Canis lupus familiaris: one gene and its partners. The protein of the gene in region 7 interacts with the protein of the main gene of each other region in a pairwise test. Links are inferred from orthologs where the notes say so. Each region holds a gene or a part of one and is shown on either strand. Other genes may lie near its edges.

Evidence for each region.
Region 1: the proteins of REL (region 7) and SEC14-like protein 4 interact in binary tests that used the Homo sapiens proteins (3 or more experiments, as listed by UniProt). The two-hybrid records come from large-scale screens. The link is inferred for Canis lupus familiaris from reciprocal best matches to the Homo sapiens genes REL and SEC14L4.
Region 2: the proteins of REL (region 7) and FLAD1 interact in binary tests that used the Homo sapiens proteins (3 or more experiments, as listed by UniProt). The two-hybrid records come from large-scale screens. The link is inferred for Canis lupus familiaris from reciprocal best matches to the Homo sapiens genes REL and FLAD1.
Region 3: the proteins of REL (region 7) and CPNE2 interact in binary tests that used the Homo sapiens proteins (3 or more experiments, as listed by UniProt). The two-hybrid records come from large-scale screens. The link is inferred for Canis lupus familiaris from reciprocal best matches to the Homo sapiens genes REL and CPNE2.
Region 4: the proteins of REL (region 7) and AQP1 interact in binary tests that used the Homo sapiens proteins (3 or more experiments, as listed by UniProt). The link is inferred for Canis lupus familiaris from reciprocal best matches to the Homo sapiens genes REL and AQP1.
Region 5: the proteins of REL (region 7) and FKBP1B interact in binary tests that used the Homo sapiens proteins (3 or more experiments, as listed by UniProt). The two-hybrid records come from large-scale screens. The link is inferred for Canis lupus familiaris from reciprocal best matches to the Homo sapiens genes REL and FKBP1B.
Region 6: the proteins of REL (region 7) and CHAF1A interact in binary tests that used the Homo sapiens proteins (3 or more experiments, as listed by UniProt). The two-hybrid records come from large-scale screens. The link is inferred for Canis lupus familiaris from reciprocal best matches to the Homo sapiens genes REL and CHAF1A.

What each region holds. Positions count from the first base shown.
Region 1 is NC_049247.1:24,017,908-24,021,907, reverse strand, and holds the start of SEC14-like protein 4, read left to right. Parts: upstream 1-1,169; 5' UTR 1,170-1,230; coding exon 1,231-1,284; intron 1,285-4,000. UniProt on the Homo sapiens protein: Probable hydrophobic ligand-binding protein; may play a role in the transport of hydrophobic ligands like tocopherol, squalene and phospholipids.
Region 2 is NC_049228.1:42,478,529-42,482,602, reverse strand, and holds the start of FLAD1 (FAD synthase), read left to right. Parts: upstream 1-1,262; 5' UTR 1,263-1,354; intron 1,355-1,736; 5' UTR 1,737-1,881; coding exon 1,882-1,962; intron 1,963-3,485; coding exon 3,486-4,074. UniProt on the Homo sapiens protein: Catalyzes the adenylation of flavin mononucleotide (FMN) to form flavin adenine dinucleotide (FAD) coenzyme.
Region 3 is NC_049223.1:58,519,230-58,522,789, reverse strand, and holds part of CPNE2 (copine-2), read left to right. Parts: intron 1-751; coding exon 752-823; intron 824-1,665; coding exon 1,666-1,749; intron 1,750-2,032; coding exon 2,033-2,122; intron 2,123-3,123; coding exon 3,124-3,222; intron 3,223-3,560.
Region 4 is NC_049235.1:43,684,836-43,689,155, forward strand, and holds the start of AQP1 (aquaporin-1), read left to right. Parts: upstream 1-1,472; 5' UTR 1,473-1,503; coding exon 1,504-1,893; intron 1,894-3,266; exon of another isoform or gene 3,267-3,685; intron 3,686-3,779; exon of another isoform or gene 3,780-4,320. UniProt on the Homo sapiens protein: Forms a water channel that facilitates the transport of water across cell membranes, playing a crucial role in water homeostasis in various tissues.
Region 5 is NC_049238.1:18,594,523-18,598,786, forward strand, and holds the start of FKBP1B (peptidyl-prolyl cis-trans isomerase FKBP1B), read left to right. Parts: upstream 1-1,432; 5' UTR 1,433-1,558; coding exon 1,559-1,595; intron 1,596-4,264. Other genes in the region: WDCP (WD repeat and coiled-coil-containing protein), read right to left, coding at 269-450. UniProt on the Homo sapiens protein: Has the potential to contribute to the immunosuppressive and toxic effects of FK506 and rapamycin. PPIases accelerate the folding of proteins. It catalyzes the cis-trans isomerization of proline imidic peptide bonds in oligopeptides.
Region 6 is NC_049241.1:55,654,892-55,658,451, reverse strand, and holds part of CHAF1A (chromatin assembly factor 1 subunit A), read left to right. Parts: coding exon 1-90; intron 91-656; coding exon 657-825; intron 826-978; coding exon 979-1,059; intron 1,060-1,881; coding exon 1,882-1,974; intron 1,975-3,043; coding exon 3,044-3,296; intron 3,297-3,560. UniProt on the Homo sapiens protein: Acts as a component of the histone chaperone complex chromatin assembly factor 1 (CAF-1), which assembles histone octamers onto DNA during replication and repair.
Region 7 is NC_049231.1:62,308,453-62,312,012, forward strand, and holds part of REL (proto-oncogene c-Rel), read left to right. Parts: coding exon 1-51; intron 52-1,408; coding exon 1,409-2,199; 3' UTR 2,200-3,560. UniProt on the Homo sapiens protein: Proto-oncogene that may play a role in differentiation and lymphopoiesis.

The DNA of each region.
Region 1 (4,000 bases), on a different chromosome or scaffold from region 7:
TTCCTGCCCTGCCAACCTGTGTTTTCTCACCTTTCTCAGCGAACCCTGCCTGATTCCCGGATGTCATCCTGACCACCTGTGTCAGCCACCCACCACCCGGGGTCTCCTGAGCCTTCCACCACCCCACCGGGGCTTCCAGTGACTACTGTCCCCTCCCATGCCCTGGCCTTCAGGCTATAGATTCTACCCAGGTGCTACCAGAGGGGCCATCCCAGAATTTCCACCTATGCAGCCCCTCCCTGTTCTGGTGAAGGCATCAATCATAGTAATTATTATGGAACAATAGTCCTCATCCTGGAGACCCGGGATCGTGTCCCACGTCGGGCTCCCCGCATGGAGCCTGCTTCTCCCTCTGCCTGTGTCTCTGCCTCTCTCTCTCTGTGTGTCTCTCATGAATAAATAATAAATAAAATCTTTAAAAAAAAAAAGTCCTAACATTGCACACTTAAGTGGAATGCCAGGCTAACCCATGGCGGATCATCTTATCTAGTCTTCTGACCATCTTGGAGCTGGAACCATTTTGCACATAAAGGCCTCCATCAGCTTGTGAGCACGGATAGGGCGCTCCTAGCCAGTGGTCAAGGCCAGGGCAGGGAGGTTGGGGCCCCTCGGGCAGAAACTCCCGGACACATCTAGAGGGTGGAGTCTGGTTTAGGAAGCCCCAGTTCCTTGGGCAGCCCGGGTGGCTCAGCGGTTTAGCGCCTGCCTTCAACCCAGGACGTGATGATCGAGTCCCACGTCGGGCTCCCTGCATGGAGCCTGCTCCTCCCTTTGCCTGTCTCTGCCTCTCGCTGTGTCTCTCATGAATAAATAAATAAAATCTTAAAAAAAAAAAAAAAAAAGAAAGTTTTAAAAGGAAGCCCCAGGTCCTCCAGCTTGCTGGGGAGGAGAGCCGGGTGTGCTCCCCGAAGCTGCCCGCAGGTCCGCAGGCCCGCCCGCCCTCCCCTCCACTCAGGACCCCGTCCGAGCCCCCGCACGAGGCGGCCTGGAGGTGGCGGCGCCTGCGGCCTCCCCTCGAGTCCGCTCTCCGGGCTCCCTGCCCCGCGTGGGGCGCGCCCGGTCCACCGCCCGCCGGACACCCCGGGGTGGGGGGCGGGACGCGCGGGGCGGCGCTCTCGGCTTGGGGCGGGGCCGACATCTGAGCCCCGCACAAAACCACGCGGCGGCTGCGGGCCTGGCGGGCCGGCGCCCTCCTGGCACCCCCGCGCCCCCCCGCCGGCCCGCGGCACCATGAGCGGCCGAGTCGGGGACCTGAGCCCCCCGCAGCAGGAGGCGCTGGCCACGGTGAGGGGCTTCGGCCGGGAGGCTCGGGAGGGGGGAGCTGCCTGGCGCTGCCCACCTGGGCTGGAGCCCCGGCGTTTGGATGGAAAAGGGGTCCTTGCGAGCCTCCTGTCCCGCGCACCCCCTGCGCCCAGTTGCTGAGGCAGACGTGTATGGGACACTGGCCTTGAACCCTTCCCTGGGCTGCCCTGGGGCCAAATCCCGCTTTCCCCTCCCGCCCTCTGCGCCCTCTGCGGCCCTTGTCCCCGGCCCTTGTCCCCTGGTTTTGGGGGTGGGGTGGTGCTGCCGTCCCCGGCAGCCTTGGGCACACCGCCCCGCAGATCTCCTGCCCGGATTGCAACATCTGTTTGTTTGGTGTCTTTGTGGCTTTCCGACTCCCCAGGGGGGAAGCCATCTCCCCATCGCTGGTGTTTCCATTAAAGAGGAATGGAGGGGTTTGGGGGATTTCAAGGCAGTCCGTCAAGCTGCCGCTGAGAGTGTCACACCCTGGGGAAGGGGGACATATTCAGGTCTTAGGTGCCACAGCATTAATTTGATTAGGAGATGGCAGGGCCTGGAAACTGTGACTTTACGTTAGGGGAGTGGGGTGACGGACCTACCTGGCTTACACTTTGGGCCAAAGAAGGGCAAGTTTCGGACTTGGGGAGACTATGGTTTCTTTTATGGCTCCCACCCTGGGGAGGATCCTCCAGGGAGGAATGAAGACCCCCCATGGAGGAGGACCCTGGATGAATTCCTGGTGAAGGAGAGAAGGGTCCCAGGTGAAGGGGGGGGGGGGGGGCTGGGTGAATTTCCAGGTAAAGGATGAGGTTCCAGGAGCAGAGAGTCTTGAGCTGAAGGAGGGGTCCCCAAGAGAAGCAGGAGGGGGAGTCCCCTGGTTAACCCTCTCCCTCCCCACTGGCAGAGGCCTCAGGGGAGCCCTGACACTAGGCTCTTGGGAGGGGCTGGACACCTGGCCTTTGGGGGTGAATTATGATGGAAATGCTTGTGGGTCAAAGAGCTTTAAACAATGTGAAAAGAGTTTATTCTTATTTTTTCCCATTATTTAATAGAAATGAATGCTAGTTGTTTTAAAAATTAGGGAGAAAAAGGAAAGTAGGAAAAAGAAGTCACCCGTGGTCCCAGAGATCTAGACAACCATGCCTAGGAGCATTTCCTTCTAAGTTTTTTACCTTAGCCTAGTTTTAACCACCTTGGTTGGGCTGCCAGAGGCTGCTTTCTCCATTTGGCCTCATTGTTCTTTTTTGTTTGTTTGTTTTGATTTTTTTTTTTTTTTAAGATTCTATTTATTTATTCCCGAGACACACACAGAGAGGCAGAGACAAAGGCAGAGGGAAGAGCAGGCTCCCTCGGGAGAGCCCAATGAGGGACTCAATCCCAGGACCCTGGGATCACGACCTGAGCCAAAGGCAGATGCTCAACCACCAAGCCGCCCAGGTGCCCCAGTATGGCCTCATTGTTAAGATATTTTTTCCATTAAGTTACTCTGGACCCTTCCCAGCACCTGCTTAGTGGTCTTATCTTTTACTTGACGTGCGTCCCAAGGGTGGGGTGGCTTTGAGACTGGAAGGTGTGGACTCCTCCTGGCCTTGTAGCTTTTTTACTTTGTCCATGGGGAAGACCCTCCAGCACCCCAGCCTCCCTTCCCACATCCACAAAGCAGGGATGTGACCCTTGCTTCTCCTGCCTCAGGGCACATCCCAGAGGTTCACAGGAGGAACTCTGGTAATCTGAAGGGGCTGAGCGTGCAGAATTATTATTTCTTGGTTATTGTGACTCTCCGTCACTCCCCCTAAAAACTTCCTCAACTGATCCTTGTGCCTGCTGGGACTGGGTGGGCGATGATGATAGCTGGTGCTCTCGCTCACCTTAGTTGTTGACACTGGAGATTTTTCGTCTTTTTATTTGTTTTTCATTATGTGATCAATACATGAACACATTCTTTTTTTTTTTTTTTTTTTTTTTTTAAAGAGAGAGGCAGAGACACAGGCAGAGGGAGAAGCAGGCTCCCAGCAGGGAGCCCATCCCAGGACCCCAGCATCGTGACCTGAGCCAAAAGCAGATGCTCAACCACTGAGTCACCTAGGCGACCCCACATTCTTATTTTAAACATCATCCATAAAGCTAAAGGAGGTTTGGTGGATGGCTGTCAAGATAGCATCCTCTGGCTTTGCTAACAATGACTTCTAATCCTAAATTCTCATTCACAGTTTCCCACAAACCCACCCCTCCAGGGTTTGCCTTCTGCTCCCTTAGTCCCCATTGAAGTGGGGGACAGTTCTCTCCCAGAACTGAGCCCCAGACCCATACCTAAACTTTCAACAGCTTTCCCAAACTCTGCCAGTGGGCAGAGCCTGCGTCAGCAGGTCAGCCCCTCTCTTTCCCCAGTCTTGACGGGCCTGATGCGGCATCCCTGGCTTCTCTTGCAGTTCCTCCCTGCTGACCTTTGCCTGGGGTTGTTTCCACAAAGACTCCCCTGTCTGGAGCTCCGAGCAGTCCACATTTGCTGAGTGCCCACATTTTTCTGGCACCTGCTGCAAGCTAAGACTGATGCTAAGTGCTTTACCTGTACACACTCCTTTGACTGGCACAAATTTATCTTTATCCCCACTACACAGATGAGGAAACTGAAGCTCAGAGTGGTTCAGTAACTTGCTTTCAAATCTAGACTCATAAGATCCAGTATCAAGGGCAAGGTTCCTAAATTGTTCTGGTTTGC
Region 2 (4,074 bases), on a different chromosome or scaffold from region 7:
AAGCCTGGCTCTTTCACATTAGTGTTTTGTAGTTGCTATGTGGCATCCCTTAACCTTTCTTAGCCTGCTGCCCATCTGTAAAATGGGCATCATCTATCTTGGGCTTTAGAAGAGTAAAATGAGGGTGGATGTGGTTCAACTGCTCTCCAAGTGATGGGTTTTAGATGTTTACTACAGGAAACATACTCTAGGGACCCAGATCAGCATCAGCATGGCACGAGAGCTTGTTAAATGCAGATCTCAGGCTCCCACCCCAACTGAATAGGGGAAATTTAATCAGCATATTAGGAAGGTCCCAGATAGGAACACCTGGCCTGCTCTGTCCGTGGAGCATGCAACTCTGGGTAGTGAATTCAAGCTGCACCTTGGGCACAGGGAGGACTTATATTTTTTATAAAAAGATCCCGGATGAGGGATCCCTGGGTGGCGCAGTGGTTTAGCGCCTGCCTTTGGCCCAGGGCGCGATCCTGGAGATCCGGGATCGAATCCCACGTCGGGCTTCCGGTGCATGGAGCCTGCTTCTCCCTCTGCCTGTGTCTCTCTGCCTCTCTCTCTCTCACTGTGTGCCTATCATAAATAAATAAAAAAAAAAAAATTAAAAAAAAAAAAAAAAAAAAAAAAAGATCCCGGATGAAACATTAAAATTTAAGCAGTTTTAGACCAAAAGCAACTGAAATGAGAATAATCCAGGATGTGAGACTCCAAAGTGGACACACGGCACTGCCTAGTCACTGCCCTCACTTTACCTGTAAGACCAATAATCGGGCAAAGGTGGTGTTCAGACCACTTTGTGGAGCAAGGCAGGGGTCAGGTATGTAGGTTCATCGTTTTTATAGAGGGGTATGAGCGCTCCACACCCTAAAAGCTCACCTCCAAGTTCTCCTACCTTCCAAGGTGTTCCTTGCTGGTGTCTCCAACGTGCGCGCGCTACCGAAGCCCTGGGCAGCCCCAGTGCCTAGAACTAGAGTGGGCGCCGCATAGCACTTGCGCGCGAGGATGTATTAACGGGATGGAGGCGAGCGTCACGCCTCCGCTCGCGGCTCCTAGCAGCGCCTCGCACCGCTGCCGCTGGCCCCGCCCCCCGCACCAGGCCCGCTGGTCCCGCCCCCGCAGTTCCGGGCGGGTGGTGACCACGTGCTTGTCGCCGATAGCAACCGGCGCTGCTCCCGCCCTTGGCTAAGGCGGGCGAGCGACAGCCAGCTGCACCAATGGGCCCTTGGAGGCCGTCTGAGCGACAGCCACGGTGACCAACCGCCGTGAGAAGGTGCGGGTCTGGGGTGGGACTCTGCGTGCGGATGTCGCTCGAGACGTGCGGGAGCAGAGGGCACGAGCCGGGGAAGGGCCCGAGAGGCAGGTGCGGACCTGGGAGAGCGCGGCGGGCTGCAGCGGGGCGGGGAGACGGGGCTCCGGCCAGAAGGGGTGCGGGCGCCTGAGGGAGGGGCGCCTGCGCTCCAGTCCCGGGCGGAGGGGGCGAGACGCTTAAAGGGACAGGTGCCCCGAAGAGAAGAGGTCTTTAAAGGTGCAGGTGGCCGCGCTCAGCTGTGGGTGCTCGGAGAACAGGACATTTTAAGGACACTGTAGCCGAGCTTAGAAGGCATGCGAAGAGGCCGGGGCTGGGGTTTGAGAACGCAATTCTTAGAGGCAGGGATAAAAGTCTTGTCAGGGGCCTGGCGAGGTCTTTCTCTGAGGAAGAGCGTGCCCTCATGCCCTCCCCGTGTCCCTTCTGGCTCCTCCAGGTTCCCTTGACCCCAGACCCCCCTGTTTTCAGGCTATGGCCCCCAGTGCCCTGTAGACCTGGCGCGACTCCCCTGCTTCCGACCCCTATTTGGGGCCCTGGGTGGCTACTGGAGGGCCGTGCAGAGGGGCAGAGAAGGCAGGACCATGGCATCTAGGGCCTTTGCACCTCCCCCAGGGCGCAGCGTGACGGCGGGCATCATCATTGTTGGAGATGAGATCCTCAAGGTGTGTCTGGGACGGAGAGGGGGGGTGGGCGCCGCCCGTCCTCTAGAGCCTGCTGCACCTTGCTGAGGGAGGCCGACCGGGGGCGCCCCCTTGCCCACCACGTCCCTGTAGTGGGTCCAACATGTTCTTCCAGTTACTCTGTTGAAAACTTGCAGCAAAGTTGCTACAATTTGCCAAGCATTTTCATAGCGGTAGGAGGGCTTTACAGGAACCAGCGGGAGTCCATCCCGTGAAGGAGGTGCAGTGCATGAGTAAGCAAAACAGGAGAGGACTAGATGGAGGAAATCCCTCGGAACAATGAGGGAAGTCTTAGGAGAGGTCATGGCATCAGGCTTGTAATAACTAATATTGACCCGTTTTTTGAGTGCTTACTGGGGCCTGGCAGTGTGCTTATTATATCAATACGCGGTCTTAACTAATCCTTAGAGCATTCCCATGAGATTTGATACTTTTATTATAAATCTCAGTTATTAGATGATGAGGCTGAGAAGTTTGCCCAAGATTACAGAGCTCAGGAGTGGTAGAGCTGGGATTCCAAGCCCATTCTCTCTTCCTCCAGAGCAACCCTTACCTACGAAGCCCCCTGTAAAGAAGCAGAAGGAGATGGGGCCAGGGAAGAGCGTCAGATCTACACCCGTAGACAGGCAGCCTCAAATATTCTTCAGAGGAATTTGAACTTTAATCAGAATATGGTTGGAAACAACACATGGCTTTTGAGCCCAAGAGTGGTGCAATCACAGTAGCACATTAGAAAGGTTAGTCAGGAGGCCTGGGTCAGAGCACTGTGGCTGGCGGCTGGGAGCCTGGCCAGGGACTGTCACCACTGTCCAGATAAAAGGTGCCAAAGACCTGCGTGGTGGTAGTAAGGACAGAGAGCAGAAGTGGGGAGACATTTCAGTAGCGTTGACAACAGAAGTGCCCAACTGGCTATGGACAGTGTCTGGGGATGCCACTAACCAAAGTGACAACAGCCAGGAATATGGTAGAAATGCCTAGTAAGTGCGGGGAGCCAGGGGATTGAAACTGGCAGGACTGGTGAGGTAGTGGATGAGTCATCCACAATAGAATTGACCGTGGAATCCATAAGCATATCTGAGGTCAAGGTTCAAATGCAAAGAAGGCCCAGGGTGGATCATGCTACCCCTGACTGTTCAGCTGGATTTTCTCACTCCTGTGCCCAGTCCAGGCTTTTTTTTTTTTTTTTAATTTTTATTTATTTATGATAGTCACACAGAGAGAGAGGGAGAGGCAGAGACACAGGCAGAGGGAGAAGCAGGCTCCATGCACCGGGAGCCTGATGTGGGATTCGATCCCGGGTCTCCAGGATCGCGCCCTGGGCCAAAGACAGGCACTAAACCACTGCACCACCCAGGGATCCCCCAGTCCAGGCTTTTTGGCAGCCCAAGACAGTACCCCCCAAAGAGCACAGTGCCCCAGCATTGGGAAAATGCAGCTGTCACCCTTTCCCCTTTGCCCTTCATCCCCACCGCATTGATATTCACTGTCACTATCTCATCTCTCAGGGACACACTCAGGACACCAACACCTACTTTTTGTGCCGGACACTGCGCTCCCTGGGGGTCCAGGTGTGCCGCGTCTCTGTTGTCCCTGATGAGGTCACCACGATTGCAGCCGAGATCACTTCTTTCTCCAGCCGCTTCACCCACGTCCTCACAGCAGGGGGCATCGGCCCCACTCATGACGATGTAACCTTTGAGGCTGTAGCACAGGCCTTCGGGGATGAGCTTAAGCCACACCCGGAGCTGGAAGCAGCCATCAAAGCCCTAGGAGGGAAGGGCTGGGAGAAGCTGTCTCTGGTGCCCTCCTCTGCCCGCCTGCATTACGGCACAGATCCTCAAACGGGCCAGCCCTTCAAATTCCCGCTGGTCTCCGTCCGAAACGTCTACCTCTTCCCAGGCATTCCCGAGCTGCTAAGGAGGGTGCTGGAGGGGCTGAAGGGGCTGTTCCAAAACACAGCTGTGCAGTTCCACCTGCGGGAGCTCTATGTGGCCGCTGATGAGGCCTCTATCGCCCCCATCCTGGCTGAGGCCCAGGCCCACTTTGGGCGCAAGCTTGGCCTGGGTTCCTACCCTGACTGGGGCAGCAACTACT
Region 3 (3,560 bases), on a different chromosome or scaffold from region 7:
GAATGAGGGCAGTAATAGGATCTCCCTTGCAAGGTTGTTGAGCAAGTCTGATGGAGGAAAGGAAGGGGAGCCTAGTGTCCAACCTGGCCTGTGTGTGGTTCTGGAAGGTCCAGTAGCTTGTGGGTGAGGCTGTCCAATAGGCATGAGGTAAGAGGAACCCAGCCCACATATGTTGCTGTTGGCCTGAGGGCTTTCCCTGCCCCTCTGTGAGGAGAGTAGAGAATGAGAGAGAGAGGCCCAGAGAGGGCAAGGGTAGCCCCAGGGTCACTCAGCTGGTCCATCACTGGCTGGGATGGGCCATAAAGGCCATGGCTGAGAGGAAAGGCATGGAGGGACAGATGATAAGGCAGCAGAGGGAGCTCAGGTGACTCCTGCCCCTGCCCCGGGCTTCAGTTTCCCTAGCTACACAGTAAGGTTCCTGGAATGCCCAGTGTCTTGGCGTTTTGAGGTAGCTATGCTCCCCAGGGCTCAAGACCACCCCTCATCTGGGGTTCCTCAAATGGCTTCCCCATCATGAGCAGTGCTGATTCTCTTATTCAGATAGTTTACTTTGGTAGAAACAGAGGTTTTGAGAAGATGAGAGCCACAGGCAGGGTCGCGTGGTACTACCCCTCCTCTCCTTTCCCCTTCCCAGCCCTGGAGAGCTGACTCCTGAGTACCTGTGCTCACTCTGTCTGGCAGGATGCTGGAGGGTAGGGAGGGAGGGGGTCAGATGGGAGGTCCCGACCCTCACATTCCTCTGGCCTCACAGATTGCTGCCCAGGAGCTGTCCGATAACCAGGTCATCACCCTGAGTCTGGCGGGCAGGAAGCTGGACAAGAAGGTAAGGCAGTCGAGAAGGGGGTTCTCCATCAGGGAGCAGTATCCCTCCCCCAGCCCAGGCTCGTGGGGCCTAGTCCTGCTGCTTCTGGCCATTACCTTCATCACGCCCCATCCAGGAAGCAGTCCATAGCTCAGGCCATGCCAAATTAGGACCTCTTTACCACTGAAGTAGTGAGTTTACCATTATTTAGAGGTGTTTAAGACGTAACTGGAAACCCCCTCCTGGGGACTCCTTATTTCACTCAGTGTCAATGCTAGAATCATTATAGTAACCTACAGGGCCCCACTGGGTGTGTCCACAGTGCCCCCTCACCTCACTCCCACTACTCTTCCCACCATCATTCTGCCTCAGCCAAATCAGCCTCTTTGTTGTCGCAGGATTGCACCAAGCATCCTCCTGCCTCGGGACCTTTGCACTTGCTGTTCCCTCTGCCTGGGATGTTTTTTTCCCTGAATATTACCTGATACTTGTTTTAAAATGGATTTTTAAAGGATATCATATCCCTTCTGTGACATGCTCAGATAGTTTCAGTTTCTCAGATTCCCACGAAATAAATTAAAATCACATCCTGCTGCAGGAACTATCACCTTTTGAAGTCCTGCCCCATCTAAGTTATAATGCCTGCAGGCTCCAGGTCTCAAGGTCTCTGAGCACAGGCTTTGGTAACCCCAGGATGAGGTGGTTTCTCCTGGGGGAGCTGGTTGGCCCCAGGGGGCTGGCTTTGCTCGCAGCTCCCACTCCTGAGGCTGGATTGGGGAAGGCAGCTGGGTCCCCCCCCCCACCTCTCATCTGAATACGGCAGAGTTGTACCTTCCTCACACACATCCTCTTGCTTCCTCCAGGACCTCTTTGGAAAGTCAGACCCATTTCTGGAGTTCTATAAACCAGGAGACGATGGCAAGTGGATGCTGGTTCACAGGACTGAGGTGGGTGCACAGGGCGCTGGGAGTCTCTAAGTCCGTGGGTCTGTAGTCTGGCTACCCCCATGTGTCAGGACGGGCTGTAAGGTCACAGCCACGCAGTGAACAGGCAAAGCCATTATGGTGCCTCAAGGCGCCATCCCTCCCTGCCACGGGGATGCTCCCTTCCCTCCCAGAGGTGTGGCCGTGGGCCTCTGTACCTGCCACCCGCAAACCTGCAGGACTGGCCCAACCCCAGAGCACTGCTGCCCTGGACCTGCCCTCACCCGTGGCTCTCGCTGTGCTGCAGGTGATCAAGTACACGCTGGACCCTGTGTGGAAACCGTTCACTGTGCCATTGGTGTCCCTGTGTGATGGGGACATGGAAAAGCCCATCCAGGTGAGGGGGCTCGGGGGCCCTGCACCCCACCCTGCCAGCTCCAGCCTCCTTGCTTACCCGCGGCTTTCTGGGGACGCCTTGGCAAAGCTCTTCCTTATTAAGATGGAAAAAGCAAACCTATGTAAGGGGAGAGGTGGGGACCTGGGCTCTCGTCTCACATGTCTGACCCCCTGAGCCATCTGGGCAGCTGTCTCCGTGAGCCCTTCTCTGAAACAGGAACAGAATGACTACCCGGTTCTTCCCAGAGGGCTGGGGTGCTGCCACCGAGGAGAGCGAGTATGCAAGCACCTTGGAAGCAACCAAGTGTCACTGTGATGAGGACATTGGTTACTGGTCTCTACAAACCCTCAGTCCTCCGGGACCGTGTCTGATGCAGATAGGGGAGAGGAGATCAGTGAGGCCGGGGCAGAGATCCCTGAATGGGGTAGTAGGAAACCCGAATTCCAGTTCTGGTCTCCTACTGCTGCTGTGAGACTTTGGGCAAGTGCTTCCCTCTTGAGCCTTAGTTTACCCATCAGTGGAATGGGTATGGTTAATTCTTGCCTTCTTCCAAGAAGTGGCAGCTCAGTTAGAGGGCATGGAAAGCTGGGATTTTTTTGTGCCTATCTCAAGGAAGGTAACAATGTAGGGAAATGAAAGGCATGTCCAGAGTTGCCCTGTGGAACATCCCTAGGGAAGGCCCCTGGCCATGGCCCACGAAGGCAAGTGGGCCACAGCCCCAAACAGATGAGGAGCTGAGTGACAGGTGTGTGGGGAGTCAAGCTTCCTGCTCCAGAGTGTACAGCCTCCATTGCTGGGGTGTCCCTTTTCCCAGCAATCAGGGAAGGCTTCCTGCAGGAGGCAGTTCAGGAGCTAACAGCATCATCCCAGCAAGGCAGATGCTGGGGATCAGGGGGAGGCACCAGCAAAAGGAAGATGTGGGATTTGCTCAGGCAACTGTGAGGGTCTGAGAGCACCTCCTTGGGAGCTACCCTGAGGTGACCTCACTGGACCCACCCCAGGTCATGTGTTACGACTATGACAATGACGGGGGCCATGACTTCATCGGCGAGTTCCAGACTTCGGTGTCGCAGATGTGTGAGGCTCGTGATGGCGTCCCGGTGAGATGGGCCCCGTGCGTGTGACCCTGAAAGCTCAGCAGGGGACGAGTGGGGGACACAGGCTTAGGATTGGGCAGACTGGGGCCCAGATCCCACCTCTCTGGCTCTGTGGCCCTAATTAAGCAAGACTTCCGATTCCTCTGAGCCTATTTCCCCATCTGCCCAGTGGGGCAGAGGAAGAGAGTGGGAGTCACATGAGATGATACTGGGGAAGGGCCTAGCACATGGTGAGCGCTCAAGAGCTGTCCATTTAACTCAGCTCAAGAAGCCGGGCCCTGGGTGATGGTTCCGGGTATAGGAGTGGACATGATGTAGACGAGTCATCGTCTGGGGTGGGG
Region 4 (4,320 bases), on a different chromosome or scaffold from region 7:
CCACAGGCTCATCCTGGCCCCGCCCCGGGCGCGTGCAGAATTCAGGGATGTCCTTCCCCGGCTGGGCCTCGATCTGCCAGCTGTAAAATGGGGAGACGCCAACACAGCCGTGGGGGACCGGGGAGGCGGGCGGGAGGTGGGAGGAGAGGCCCAGAGAGGGCCGCTCCCTCCCGGGCCTGGCCTCGCCCCCTCCCGGCCCCGCCTGGCTGCTCTTGCCCTCGCTGCACACCGACTGGGCAGGCGGCCGGCAGGAGCCCCCTGCCTGGGGGAGTCCGGGCGCCTGCACAGCTTACCGGCTGCTGTCGGGCCTCTGGCTGGCGGCGTGCAGGGCAGGGGCTGGGGGCAGGGGTCTGCGGGCCGGCCTCTTCCCCACCCACCCCACCTTTCCCCTCTTGCTTCGTGCCTCTGCTGGTTCCAGTGGCGTCTCCTCTGTCAGGTTTGTCTCTTCCCCGTCTCTGCTCCCTGGCTGTCTCTCCTCCTCAGCCTGGCCTGAGATCTCGCTCGTCTCACTTGCCCTTTGACTCTGTCTCTCTGCCTCTCCCTTTGTCTTGTGTCCTCTCTCCTTCTCTCGTCTCTGCCTCCGTCTCCAGGCTACCTGGCCATTCCTTCCCTCGCCCCCTGGGGTCTGCCAGCATGCAGCCCTGGAGAGGAAAATCCTGAACTGCCTCTGTTTTCTCCACCTGCCCTGCTATCGTTGGTTCTAATTGCTTCTGGAGCAATGAGGGCTCCCAGAGTGGCTACTTGCCTATCTCGGGCCTGCCCTTGACCACAGAGTGCGGGGTGGGCCACCGACAAGCTCTCCGTGCCTCCTAATGCCTCTGTGTCCCCATCAACTGGGCCTGGCCAGTGGTGCTGGGCCCCTGGGGCATCCCTAAGGTGACATCTTGTAGCCAGGCCTGGGCCAGGGTGTGGGAGACCCAGAATGCCCCTGGGGACCCCTGGACCCGTGCTGTCCAGAATAACGCCACTCCGGGATGGGATGGGATGCCGGGCGAGCAGGATCATGGTGCCCCACTTCTCGGGAAGGCAAAGTCCACCTGCGGAGTCCAACCCACCCACCCTGCACCATCCAGAGCTTCTGGCTCTGCCCATGGACACCCCTGAGCTCCGCACATAGGGCGGGGACACCTGGATTTCTCTGGCCCCCTGAGTGGGGCCAACTTGGAGGAATTTCCCAAAGCCTATTAGAGCAGTGGCTGCCTCCCGCCTGCCTCCTCGGGCTGGGCAGGGCTGAGGGCGGAGGGAGAGAGGGAGGGAGGGGGGAGAGGAGGGAGGGAAAAAAGTTGGCAGGCCGACAGCAGAGCTGTGTCTGCATCCATCGCTGAGAGGAGGCCCGTGAAGTGCGGGGCGGGCCAGGAGCAAGGAGAGGCCTTCCTCCCTTTGTGCTCCCCCCCCTCCTCTCCTCCCCCCGGGCCCTATAAATAGGCCCAGCCCGGGCTGTGGCTCAGCTCTCGGAGGGAGTCGAGCACCAGGCAGCGGTCTCAAGCCAAGCCCCCTGCCAGCATGGCCAGCGAGTTCAAGAAGAAGCTCTTCTGGAGGGCGGTGGTGGCCGAGTTCCTGGCCATGATCCTCTTCGTCTTCATCAGCATCGGTTCTGCCCTGGGCTTCAACTACCCGGTGAGGAACAACCAGACAGCAGGTGCGGCCCAGGATAACGTGAAGGTGTCACTGGCCTTCGGGCTGAGCATTGCCACCCTGGCCCAGAGCGTGGGCCACATTAGTGGCGCCCACCTCAACCCAGCTGTCACGCTGGGGCTGCTGCTCAGTTGCCAGATCAGCATCCTCAGGGCTGTCATGTACATCATCGCCCAGTGCGTGGGGGCCATCGTGGCCACCGCCATCCTCTCGGGCATCACCTCCTCCCTTCCGGACAACTCCCTCGGCCGAAACGAGGTACGTGGGGTGGCCCCAGGTGCTGGGCTCTGGAGCAGAGCACACGCGGCATAGGTCTCATCCTCACCCATTGTGCAGATGGGGACACCGAGGAGCAGAGAGGGCACGAGCTGGCTGGAGGTCATGAGGACTTGGGGCTGGAACTCAGCTACACCTGCAGCCCAGAGCCCGTTTCCTACCAGGCACCGTGGGAAGCCGAGACCCAGAGAATAATAGTCTGGCCAGTGTCCCCTGCAGGCGTCTATCGTGGGGAATCAGCTCTGGAGGCAGCTACCAATTGTGGGGACAGCAGCTCCTCACCCCTCGGCTGTAGCTTCTAGGTCTCCACTCTGCCCGGCCGGGGCAGCCAGCTCCCTCTTCCTACAGCCTGGACCCTGGGGACACGCTGCCCGCTGTCCCCAGCCCCCCGAAGCTGGGTGCCTGGCACATTGGCGCGGGTCAGCAGCTGCATGAGCAGGACCCATGGGTGGCCACACGGACCCTCAGCCCGCCCCATATTCACACAGGTCCCCAAACAAACTGCCTTCAGGGAAAAAGCCCCTCCTGCTCCTTGGTCCCCGAGAGTTAGATGAAGCTGCGGGGCAGCGGGGGTGCGGTGGGGGCAGGTGAAAACATTCTGGCTGGTTTGCAGGTGGTTTTCCTGGATTACAGTAGGGGTGGTGGCCAGGGTGGGGACATCTCGCCTCCCGTCTGGGCTCCACTCTCTGTCGCCGGGCACCGTGAGGTGTGGCACGTGTGTTTGTGTGTGTGAACGGTGTGTGCACGTGGATGCTGGCATGGGTCTCCGGGCTTGTGTAAGCTGTGCGCTCCCGTGGGTCTGCGAGTGTTAGTGCAGCCGTGTGAGTGGGCGGCGGGGGCGGGGGGCGGTGAGTGTGTACCTGTGCATGCCCATTGCCCCTGGCCCCAATGGGGTCTGGGCCGGGGGCACTAATGGTGAGCAGATGTTGGTGAGTGGGTGGCAGGCTGCTGCAAAGAATTCCTCCCGGGCCGCTTAGCACAGCTAATTGGCCGTTGGCGGCAGTTGCCTGCTGTCGCAGACCTGGGCTTTTCCAGACCCTCGGCCAAGTGCAAACTCAGACCCAGCCCGGGGCCACCGCGGCGGGGGGAGGCTTGGCCTGAGAGAGGCTGAGGAAGGCTCGGAGGGTGCCTTCCCGGGACAGGGGAGTGGCGCACGAGCACACGGGAGGAACCAGATCTGCAGAATCGGGGCTCGGGGCCTGGGCAGGGCAGGCGGGGGCAGGGACCGGGAGGGAGCCAGCCCAGGGCCCCAGAGACCGCGGCCCGGGATTACAGCGATTGTTGTCCCGCTTCCCAGCCAAAGTTCAGATCCTGGCGCTGCAGCTGCGGGGAGGCTTGGTAAGGCCTGGTGCAGAGGGCAGCTGGCGAGGCCTTGGCTCGGGCTGGGGGGGATTAGCACTTCTTGTGTCACAGTGACACCTTACCCGGCCCCCTCGCGGAGCCAACCGCTGCTCGGCCCAAGATTGAAGATTAGCCCGCGGGCTGGAGTTTAGACTTTAGTCGAAGAACGTGGTGGCCGAGGTGGGTGGAAGGGACGAGAGCTCCGGCAGGCTCTCCAGAGGGCAGGGCCAGGTGACTCCGGGGAGTGACCCCCGGGTGGGGTCAGGTTCAGCCGTGGCCGGCTCGGTGGGCAGGGCGGGCGGTGGCGAAAAGGTGCCCGTTGGGGAGGGGTTGAATGTCCGCAGGCCCCTGCCCTGTCTTGACCCTCCTTCTCCAGGGACAGGCAGGACAGGCATCTGTGGGCAGACGTCGCGTTCTGACTCGGGCATCACGGGTAGGTGCCGGGAGGGTGGCCGCCTACCGTGGCATCTTCGTCTGGCCGCAGCCTGCTCCAGTGTCCCTTCCCTGCCCCGGCCTCCGTTTTGCAGAGTCGCCCAGATGCCTGGCTGGGCCGTTGGCAGCTGGGGGAGATAAAGGGACAGGCTCCTGCCGGGGACAAGCACGCCGGGCTCACGTCCTGTCTGCTGCTAACCTGTTGCGTTTTCCTGGAGCTGAGGATCCTGAGACTCCAAGAAGGAACCTAGGTCTTTATAGATATTTCCTGGCCCCTCCTAAACCACCAGCAAGCTCACTCTGGGGACTTGTGTTTATCACCCTTCCCAGGAGGGTCTGGCTAAGAGGAGCCCACGGGGGGCCTCGCTGACCATAAGATTCCTGAGTGTTGTGGTGGGGTGCAGGCACTGTCCTGTCTACACCAGGGAGGTTTGGGGTTCCAAAGTCTGGGCCTAGAAACAGAAAGCATCTCTCCCAGGGCTCCTGTCAGACGCTGGACCTGCGATGTGAAGGCATCTGAAGTTCCTGGCAGGTGGCCCTGATGCCTCAAGAGAGGCAGAGACCGGTCTCTGCAGCAAGTGACACACTTTTTCCCCCAGGCTCAGAGGGAGGCTCCCACAGCCCCTTGGGCCCTGG
Region 5 (4,264 bases), on a different chromosome or scaffold from region 7:
TTTCTTAACTTTTCTTCGGGGGGGGCGGGCGGGGAAGGGGGTCAGGAGGTGGGATGGTATCACTTCTTTAAAATGTGATAAAAATCTCCCCCCCCCCAGAAAAATGTACTTATCCCTATCCTAAATATTGTGCATTCAACTGAAGCTGCTCCATGGACCTATCCGAGTTACAAACCCCTGTCCTACACTTTCCCCAAGAGTGCCTCCCCATGGACCATAGTCCAAGGAAGGACCCGGTGCATCACTAGATTTTAGACTAGCTGCATACCTGGGAGACTCTGGGCCACGCCGTGAAGCAGTCCATGGGGAATTTCGGATGCTGACCCTCATAGTACAGTTGGCCATCATCTTTCTTGAACAAAACAGCCAGTGCTCCTTCAGTGATGCTGATATCCTCAAGTCTGACCTAACCATCTGGGAGCCTTGGGGGTGGGGGTGGAAGAAGAACATTTCTAGGGTCCACTCTGGGTGCCTTTGCTCAGGCTTTTCTCCTCGTGCCTATATTCCAGTGCCACTGGTCAGAACCATGCTTTCACGTCGATTTTTAGAACAATGCAGGGAAAGATGAGAGAAAAAGAGAGGGGAAAAAATAAAGTTCCATTCATTCTTCAAGCAAATGTCATCTCCTCCAAAGATGTTTTTCTAGATTCCTGGAACTCTTTTGGGTGGAGGTGAAGGGTCTAGCGTGGAAGAGGAGCTCAAGGTATAATTTATTCATTCATCCCACAGCACGAATCACTCCACGCTGTAACTAACTCTCCCCGTCCCCGCCCGTCACAAAATTTCATTCTTTGACGACAGCGATTCTGCTTTAATTAAATTGGTATCCTCAGGGCTCTGTTCTTTGCCTTGAAGGTGGGCATCTACCTGTGAGTGCTGGAGAACTACGCGGGACGGCGACCAGGGGTTTAGGGAGATCGCAGTGGGGTAATGGCCGGTGCCCTCCCCCCCGCCCCCTCCCCCCGCCCGCGCGCACCCCCAGGCTGCTCCTACAGTCCGGCAGCCGAGCCAGGGCGAGTACCCTAACGGGTGCTGCCCTAACGTTCTGGACTCCAGGGCAGTGAGCGCATCTATTTAAAGTGTTGGTTTAGTTGCTGGCTTTCGCCTAGTCGGTGGGACCGGGTTGACTCCCCAGAGCTTAGCACAGAGTAGATGCTAGATAAATCTGTGATGAGCGGATGCATAGAGGGGTGGCTGCACCGGCGGGTGCGTAGATGCGCGGGGGTCTCTGCCTCCCCCTCCGTCCCCCCCCACCCCCGTGAACGACGGTCGGCCCGGCCAGGCCCGGGAGCCGCGGCGCCGGGGTCCCTTCCCCGGGCCCCGCCCCAGCCGACCCCACCTTTCCGCGCCGCCCCGCTCCGCCCCGCCGCCCCCTTCCCCGTGGCCCCTCCCCGCGCAGGTCCCGACTCCCGCCGCACCTCCTCCGGCTCTGCAGTGGCGGCGGGGAGGCGAGCCGGAGCGCCAGCGGGGCCGGGGCCGGGGCCGGAGCCGGAGCCGCAGCCGAGCCGGGGTCGGGGCAGCAGCCGGGACCCTCAGAGGCGGGGCCAGTGGGACTGCGATGGGCGTGGAGATCGAGACCATCTCCCCGGGAGACGGTACCGGGCGGCGGAGCCGGGGGAGGAGGAAGGGTCCCGGGGCGGAGCCGGGCGGGCGGGGGTCTGGGTCGGAGGTGGCGCGGAGGGTGAGGACGCGGGGGCGGGCGCAGGGTGGGGCGGCGGGGGAGACCCCAGACTGCACTGTCGGAGCTCTGGCCGACGACCCTCCGCCCCCCTCCCCGCGCCGGCTCACCTAGGGCGTCGGAGGCGGCGGCCGCAGGCGGGGGTCTGGGCCCGCCACCGCCCCGGGGGCCTCGGGCGCCGCCGCCGCCGCGGGAGCCCCTCAGTTGTCTGCCGCTGCTAATTTCCCAGGGCAGGGGTTTGGCTCTGCTCTCCCTGCCCTGCTAGGTGAGCTCCGGGGACCGCTGGAAGGGTTCCCTTCTTGGGGCAACCCGTTTCCAACGCGCCCCCCTGAGGGCCTCGGCTCCCGCGGCCCCCGTGGGCTGGGCGGGGAGACGTTGTGGGGGGACCGAGCCCGTCTGCGAGGAAGAAGCGCTCCCTCCGCCGCCTCTGCATCCTGCTTTATCCTCCCCGCCCCACTCCGCCTCTCCAGCCATCCTGTACACTCCCATGGCTTTCATTACCGTCTGCAAACCGATGGCCTCCAAACTTAAGCCTCCAGCCCAGATCTCCGACCCATTTATCCAGCTGCTGCTCGACCTCTACCTGGATGTCCCATGGAAACCTAATTCAGCGAGTCCAAAACAACTCGAGCTCCTTGTCCTCCCCACGCCCAAGCACTCCTCTGTATTTCCCTTTTCCCTGCCCCCCCCCCCCCCCCCCCCCCCCCCCCGTCAGGAGCGGCACCACTCACTTTCCCCAGCCAGACATCTCTTGTATAATTGGGTCTGGATGTGCAAGGAATAGCTTATTTTAAAAAATTTTAAATGACACTTAATCCAGTCCAGAGCCCCCGTTTCTGCAGAATTTGACAGACAAACTTCATGTGAGACATGTCTGACAACCCCCACCCTCTCTAGGAAATTGGAAGACCTCTTGGTTCTAGGCCACCCTCCTTGTTAAAAGGCAGTGGTCCCTAGAGGTCCCAGTCCCGATCCCTGTCACCCTGCAGGTACAGGCTTCTTTGCCCCCACTGAGAACAATAGTGCTGGGTCCCAGGAAGCATCTCTCTGAGACCTTGTCACACCCCAGGGAAATTGCCATTGAGATCTCCCAGGGAGCTGGAGGCCTCTTCTCTTTTCCCCTGACTCAAAGTAGCCTTTAGAGTTTTCTCTGCTTATCCTCCCTTTCTGGCCAAGGACAAGGGCCATTTTCTTTTGAGGGAGATTAGATTTTTCGAGAAAGCCTGAAAAAACTTTGGCCTTCTGCTTTAACAGTCTAAACCCTTGAGTCAAGAAGGCATAGAAGGGCCAAGCTACTGTATTGTTAGGCTGGGGGCACCATTCTAAGTGAAGCCCCGCAGCAAGTCTGGTAGGACTTGGTCCTTCTGCTGAAATTCTCTAGGCTACATCCGTTTAGCCCCTGCCCTGGTTCAGATGATGGTCTCTCATCAGGCTTTCTGCACATCCTCTACATTGGTCTCCACACATCCAGTCTGACCTCTCTGCCTTCCATCTGGCCTCCCTAACTCACTACCTATTTTCCACACCATAGCCTGAGGAGTCTTTAAAATGCCTATTTTAGGTTCCCATTCCCTTCTGCTCCCCTCTTACCTTATCCCCGTGCCTTGTGCTTTAATGAATCTTCCATTTTCTTCTCAGACAGATAGTAATCTAGCCTGGTCTTACCTTCCACACTAGGGCAGTCTCTTACTACAGCCCCTACCCCCACTACCACCTTTTTCTGTAGCTTCAGCAAGCTTCCTGCAAAGTTGTTAAAACACATCAATCATTCCGCAAATATTTATTGAACATGTACTATGTGCTAGGCCCTGGGGTTAACAGCAGTGAGCCAGACAGGGATCCCACTAGTGCTAGACTCCAGGCCTTTGAATGTGTCATCAGTTCTTCCCAGATTATCTCCTTTAACTTCCTCTGGCAAACTAGTCATCTCTTAAGATCTGGTTTAACCTTATCTCCTCTCTGATGCTTTCCTGGACTCCCACAGAGTCCTCTACATGTTGGCTCACTTGTTTGCCTCCCAAAGATTTGTTATCCAGGCCTGTGGCTTTAAATTCCACCCAGATTTATACCTCCAGTGCAGACCCTCCATCTGCCTACTTGCAATATAAACTCAGATGTCTAATAGGCATTTCAAGACTGCCAACTGCTCAAATCTGCTCCTCCCCAGTCTTCCCCACCTGGAATTAGTTCGTTCCACCATACGTCCAATTGCCCAAACTGAAAACCCAAGCATTGTACTTGATTTCTCCTTGTCCCTCCTCCTGGACCCCATCTCCGTTCCATTAGTGTACTCTGTCAGCCCCGTTTCCCAAACGTATCTATTTTGCTCTCTTCTCTGCTGCCACCACGTTAATTCAAGCCATAATTGATTTCCTGTCTGGATTATTGCAACAGGCGCCTAATCGTCCATCCTACAGGCAGCAGCCAGAGTGATCTTATAAAATCTTAATTCAGATTATGTCATCCTTTTGCTTAAAACTCTCCAGTGCCTTCCTATTGCGCTTGGAGTTAAATCTAGCTCCACGATGTCCAATGTCTGGCATGATCTGCATGATCCTGCTCTTTCCTACTTGTCTCCTTCTCCCT
Region 6 (3,560 bases), on a different chromosome or scaffold from region 7:
ATTCTCCTTCCTGAAAGATCTGAAAGGCCGTCAGCCCCTCAGGTCCGGACCCACCGTGGTTTCAAATCGAAACACGAATATTTATAACAGGTTAGTGGGTGGGGAGACAGCCTTTTGCCTGTTGGTGAAATCAGAGCGCAGTTGGAAAGTCCTGGAGGGCCCAAGGCAGAGTTCTGGGTTTAGGCCCGCTGCTGGCTCATCGTGGCCAAGGGCTAGTTGTCTTCCATCCTGGACCTAAGGCCTGAACCTTCAGACCTTGCTTTTTTGGCCTCCCCTGAGCTTCTGAAGTCTCATGTGCAGTGGCTTTGCCAAAAGCCACTGCTATGGAGTGCAGACTGCTTGGCTTGGCCTCCTGGTCTCTCAGAGGGGGGATCTTATTTCCATGCTGGCCTCCTGGGAAGGACATTTCACCGTTCTCTTTGATCTGCTTACTCTCCACGACCCCACTTCTGTAAATGCTGTGAGCCAGCAACTTGGCAGTTTTGTTTCTCCTTCCTCCTTGCTCTGTGTCCCTGGAATAAATGTCCCTTAGCTTTCTTGGGAGCAGGTGGTTGGTTACCCATCATGGTAAAATGTTGATAGCCTATTTTCTTGGGAAGCCTGGGTGGTCAGCGGGTGGGTTGTAGAACAGGCACATTATTGGGTTTCCTCCTCAGTGATGTGGTGATCGTGGAGAGCGGCAAGGTCGAGGGTGTTCCTGAGAGGAAGAAGTTTGGCAGGATGAAGCTCCTACAGTTTTCTGAGAATCATCGACCAGCGTACTGGGGAACGTGGAATAAGAAGACAACCGTCATCCATCCGAGGGACCCCTGGGCCCAAGACAGGGTGAGCAAGTGGTCCAGCCTCACCTGCCTTTCTACATTTCCTTCTCATTTTGCCTTTTTTGCACTGGTCTCCTGGATTTCATAAGCATTGTAGCTTTTCTGCTCTGCCACCCCTGAAAGACAACCATGACGCCCTGCGTCCTTGTTTTCTCAGAAGCTCCTGGACTATGAGGTGGACAGTGACGAGGAGTGGGAAGAGGAGGAGCCGGGCGAGTCCCTGTCCCACAGTGAGGGGGTAAGCACACACCTGCACCTGTGGTTTCCCCCAGAAGGCCAAGGCAGGCCCTAGGTTGAGTTCACTCACAGCCAGCCTTCGAGCCGCAGTGTCATCTGAAATTTCAGCCAGATCTCAGGGCTACCTGGGAGGCTCAGTTGGTTGAGGGTCCAACTCTTGATTTTGGCTCAAGGTTGTGAGATGGAGTCCCATGGCAGACTCTGCACTGAGTTCAGAGTCTGCTTGAGATTCTCCCTCTGCCCCTCCCTCTCCTCTCCCACTCTTTCTCTCAAATAAATAAATAAATATTTTTTTTGAAAAAATAAGTTAAGAAAAACTAGGTTTTCAACTTCTCTTGAAAAGCCTATTTGGTGACACTAACCCACTTGGCAGTGGGACCAAGCAGCATCTACCCTGTTAAGTGGGGCATGCTTGCCTGTGTTCCCATGACCCGACTCCCATGTCAGTGTCAAATAATGGGATTCATCTATGGGATTTCTCCCAACCCTTGAGGTGTCCATAAGAATGATGCCCAAGGCAGTAGATGGCTTTTCATTCCTTAGATGTTTGCAGGTTAACCTTTTTTTTCTTTTGCAGGTTAACTTTTTTTTTTTTTTTTTTTTTTAAGATTTTATTTATTCACGAGACAGAGAGGCAGAGACATAGGCAGAGGGAGAAGCAGGACCCATGCAGGGAGCCCGTTGTAGGACTCGATCCTGGGCCTGAGCCAAAGGCGGCGCTAAACCGCTGAGCCATCCAGGGATTCCCCACAGGTTAACATTTTAAATGAGACATATTTTGTCTGTTGGCTATGTATTATGAACTTTTTTTTTTTTTTTTGAGGATGATGATGATGAAGTAGGAGAGGATGAAGATGAGGATGATGGTTTTTTCGTGCCCCATGGGTACCTGTCTGAGGACGAGGGAGTAACTGAGGTGAGGCATGAGCTTGGAGGTGACTGTCCCTGAGAGAGCTCGGCCGGACTGAGCTTAGTGGCTGCTAGCCTGTTTGCGACCCCAACAAGTAGTCATCTATGGGGTTGTAGGGACCTGGGCTTAAGTTTTACTGGGGAGGGTAGTGGGATCTGCAGAGGTAGGAGAGACTCCCGGGGTGGTGACCGCGTGAGCAGAAGGCTGAGTCAGAGAGGCTGGGAGGTGTGTGGGTCAGACTGCTAAACCCCCTTTTCCTTTTATGGTTTCTTAGTTGAGGCATGATGAAAGTATAAGAAAACATACAGATCTTAATTATTGAGCACAGCAAGTTTTAATGATTGACATTTGTAAATCTGTCACCAAAAGTAAAATCTAGAACTTCCCATCTCTCCAGATGGTTCCCCCATGTCCCTTTGAGGCATCCCCCTACCCTTGCCACCAACATTCTAGACAGACTCAGCCAGATGGTGAAACTTTCAATAGGCTGGTTTTAGGGTTCGGACAGCTTTTCAGGTCGCAGTGCTTGGGTGGTGGAGAAATGTTGGAAGTATGACTGGGGGAATGGTTTTGTCTCTCCAAATCAGATGCAGGGGGAGGGATACCTCATATGTGTGTCTGTGGAGCCCATGAGTCTTCTGTCTTTGAGAGCGGTATTGGAGCGTGGGAGGGGCCTAGCCCTGAGGGTGAACTGGGCGTGGGATTTGGGGTTGCTGATTGCATGACCCTGGCATCACACCCTCCCCAGAAAATCCAGAGTGGCCTTGAGTGGCTTACTGGTGAGGTTAAGGGAGTACCTGAGACTGCCAGTCATGGCCAGAGAGGACGGTGCATCCTGAACAAACAGCACAGGGCATAAGTGCCTGTCTCCATGGAGTCTAGGAAAACACTGCTGTTTCCCAGATGGTAATGCTAGGAAGAGGGGTGCAGAATACAATGGGAGCTCTGATACGTGCAGGGTGCAGCAGCCCTGATGGTGGATGAGCAAGCTCTTTCCTCTTGGTGTCTGGGAGGCGGGAGGCGAGAGCACAGGGGCCTGGGCACCCTGAGTAAGCATTGCTCTCCAACCTGCAAGGAGTGTGCTGACCCAGAGAACCACAAGGTTCGCCAGAAACTGAAGGCCAAAGAGTGGGACGAGTTTTTGGCTAAGGGGAAGAGGTTCCGTGTGCTGCAGCCTGTGAAGATCGGCTGCATCTGGGCGGCTAATAAGGATGGTGGTGCCGACCTGAAGGTGCTGCAGCAGTTCACGGCGTGCCTTCTGGAGACAGTCCCCTCCGAGGAGGAGCAGACACCCAAGGCCTCCAAACACGAGAAGAGAGACCAGCAGAGTGAGTGTCCGTGCTTGGTGGGAATGGGAGGGGACCAGGCTTCTAGCTGTCCTAGGCCCAGGGAGACTTTATTAGGTGACTGGATCAAAACTTAGAAGTCCTGGGATCCCTGGGTGGCGCAGCGGTTTGGCGCCTGCCTTTGGCCCAGGGCGCGATCCTGAAGACCCAGGATCGAATCCCACGTCGGGCTCCCGGTGCATGGAGCCTGCTTCTCCCTCTGCCTGTGTCTGCCTCTCTCTCTCTCTGTGTGTGACTATCATAAAT
Region 7 (3,560 bases):
CTAGACCTGGTACCCTAGTATCAACTGGAGAAGGAAGATTCATCAAAAAAGGTATTTTATCCCCCATAGAGAGTATTCCTTAACGGTCAAAAGACCAGTGCTTTGCACAGTATATTGGATTCTATTCTTAGGAAAGGAAAACTGCTTCTTTGCTATTTTCTAGGCTCACAAATTTTTTTGTGCTTTGAATATTAAATGAATTGATCTCAGCTTCTTAAGTTCCTTTTGGGAACTATGATTATGTTTTGGGGATTTATTGTTTGAGAAATTACATTTGTTCATATGGTGGTAATTTTACCTAATTACCATGTGTCATGGAATAAATGGTTTGGATCTAGCCAGTCGCCCATCTTTAAAAATAAAGTTTTGCTGGAACACAACAACCATGCTCATTTGATTACATGTTTTGTCTCTGGTTGCTTTTTTTCACATTATAATGGCAGAATTGTGTAGTTCCAATAGAGGCTGTATGGCCCACGGAGCATAAAATATTTGGCCCTGTACAGGGAAAAAAAAAGTTGCAGACCTCTGGTTTAGATAATTGAACCAGGGTTATTTAACTGGAAGTCTTTTCTTCCCCTTACATTCTTAAATCTGTGCTTTTTTCCTGGTTTAGTATGTATAGCAGTCCTATACTATACATACAGAATCCTTAATTTTTTTTCTGTCTGGAAATTTTGTAGTACCTTAGAATTACATCTTTTTTTTTTTTCTTTTTAGAGAGGTGGGAGAGGGAAAGAGGGAAAGGCAGAGGGAGAGAGAGTTCTTAAACAGGCTCCGTGCCCAGTGGAGAACTCGACACTAGGCTCCATCTCAACTCTGAGATCATGACCTGAGCTGAAGAGTCAGATGCTTATCTTAACAAGTTATGTGTATTTTTCAATCATCCCTAATGAACCTTTCCTCCGTCTCTCCATTTTCTCCTAAGAGTAGTGAATATGAAATGATTTTGGCTATTTAGATTTCCATTAACTGAAATTCTGATTTTTTTTTTTTTTTAAGTAATCTCTGTGCCCAATGCGGGCTCAAACTCACAACGTTGTGATCAAGAGTTGTGTGCTCCACCAACTGAGCCAGCCAGGCACCCCTGAAATTCTGATTTATTTTTCACTTTCCAAAAATACCTTTATAAGGCCTCAGAAGCTAAATTTTCATGCTTAACTGGAATGAAGCTATCTATTTCAAAATAACTTACCAAAATTATTTTATAGGTATTTGTAAAACACTAAGTGTTACAGAATTCAGCTTTGGACTCATGTAATAATTTTAGTGCTATTTAACATTTTTCTCTAAAATGTTACATCAGTTTGCTTGAAAATTTTCTTAGTGTGGTTATGCAATTTTAATTTAGAGATAGTGTTTTTTATACTTTTGTTTCACTTTGTAAAAAACATTTTCCTCCCCACAGAATCAAACTTTTCTCATGGTGCAGTTTTGACAGAAATGCCCAGGACTTCAGGCATTTCAAGTCAAGCAGATTCCTACTATTCCTCGTCTGTGTCCATGTCAAATGCACTGTCACATCATTCTTCACCCATACCTTCAATGGTGTCTCAGGCTTCTTCAAGCTGGTCATCAGGGGCCCACCCCACCTCACGTGCAGTCAATACGAATCCATTGAGTGGTTTTTCAACAGGGACACTCTCCTCTAATCCACAAGGTATCTCACCATATCTGGAAATACCTCTTGAGAGTGATTTGAATGCCTCTAATGCTTGTATTTATAACAATGCGAATGACATAGGCAGAATGGAAGCGCCGTCCATGTCATCAGCTGATTTATATGGTATTTCTGATGGTAACATGCTGCCGAATTGCCCTATGACTATGATAACACCTAGTAATGACAGCATGAGGGAGACTGATAATCCGAGACTTGTGAGCATGAATCTCGAAAACCCCTCATGTAATTCAGTGTTAGACCCAAGAGACTTGAGACAGCTCCATCAGATGTCCTCTCCCAGTATGCCAGCAGGTGCCAGTTCCAGTACTACTGCTTTTGTTCCTCAGCCAGAGGCATTTGAGGGATCTGATTTCAACTGTACAGATAACAGTATGATAAATGAGTCAGGACCATCAAACGGTACTAATCCCAACAGTCACAGTTTTGTTCATAGTCAGTATTCTGGTATTGGCACTATGCAGAATGAGCAATTGAGCGACTCCTTTGCATTTGAATTTTTTCAAGGTAACTTGTAAAACTTAAATGGTAGTTTGGGACCAAGCTGGAAAGTATCATGAAAGGAAAATACTGAAATAGAAATTTAAAAGGACTTTACTGTTTCTTCTTTTTGAAACATGTGACCCGATACTGTGTGTGGTGGGACTTCTGCTTTACAGTCCTACCCCATCTTCTCAGTACAGAATGAAGAGAATATCAAGACACCTCAGTTCTTCCAAATACACTTTTTTTATACTTCTTTTGTATTGTATTAATGTATTCTTAGTTAAATGAATTAACTGATATTTGCTTTTAAGCAAATTTAAGGTAAAACCTATAATGGCTATGCCATTAGAGAAATGATTTTCTTATTATTTTTGAGACTCATAGGCCAAGGTGACCCCTAAGGGGTTTTCTGAGGTTTCTTGGAGTTTCTTAAATTTGCATGTAAGTCAACAATCTTTAAAATTAAAAATCTAACTCGGGTTGAGGCCTGGGTGCCTAGTGGGTTAAGTGACTGCCTTGGGCTCAGGTCATGATCCTGGGACCCTGGGATGGAGTTCCAAGTAGGGCTACCTGCTCTGCAGAGAGTCTGCTTCTCCCTCCCTCTCTCCCAAATGTGCACTGTTTCTCAAATAAGTAAAATCTTTTAAACAAAAAATCTAACTTGAACAGAAGAGAGTTGAAGTGAGCTCAACTCACTCAACTCAAGGTAGGGAAAGTTCTCTACATTTCAGACCAATTAAATCCTTACCTTTAAAATTGCTTGTGATTTTTAGCTTTACACCCATGTCTTTAAGGTGAAGAGGTTTCCTTAGACCTCTCATCTTTCTTGTGTTCCCTCACTCACTGTGATCACATCTAATTTCATGCTCTCTGTTCCTAAATTTTATCCTTACCTTAGACCTATCCTCTGACCTCCAGGCTTGGAGCTTACCCATGTATGCAAAATTGCTTATTTGACATCTCTACTTAGGAACCTAATTAGTGAGCTCTGACTCAACACATCCAAAACTGAGTTCATCATCTTCCCTCCCAATTTGGTTCCCCTTCAGGCTGCCCCAACTTAGTAAATAGCAGTGCTATGCTTATATAGTTGCTCAGGTTCAAAACCATGGAGTCATCCTTGATCTTTTCTTTCTCTCCCAAATCCAATCCATCAGCAAATCTGGTAGGCCATGCCTTCAAAATATATCCAAAGCTCCCCACCTCTTTTGACCTCTACTGCTAACTTCCTGTTCTAAGCCAGTGTCCTATCACCTCTTGCCTGGATTGAAGCTCTAGCCTCCAGAGATGCTGTCACTTCTTGTGCCCTACCGTCTCTTCTCGCCAAAGTAGCCAGAATGATTATTTGTAAAACAAGTCAAATTGTATCATTAACCTGCTCAACAAAATCCTG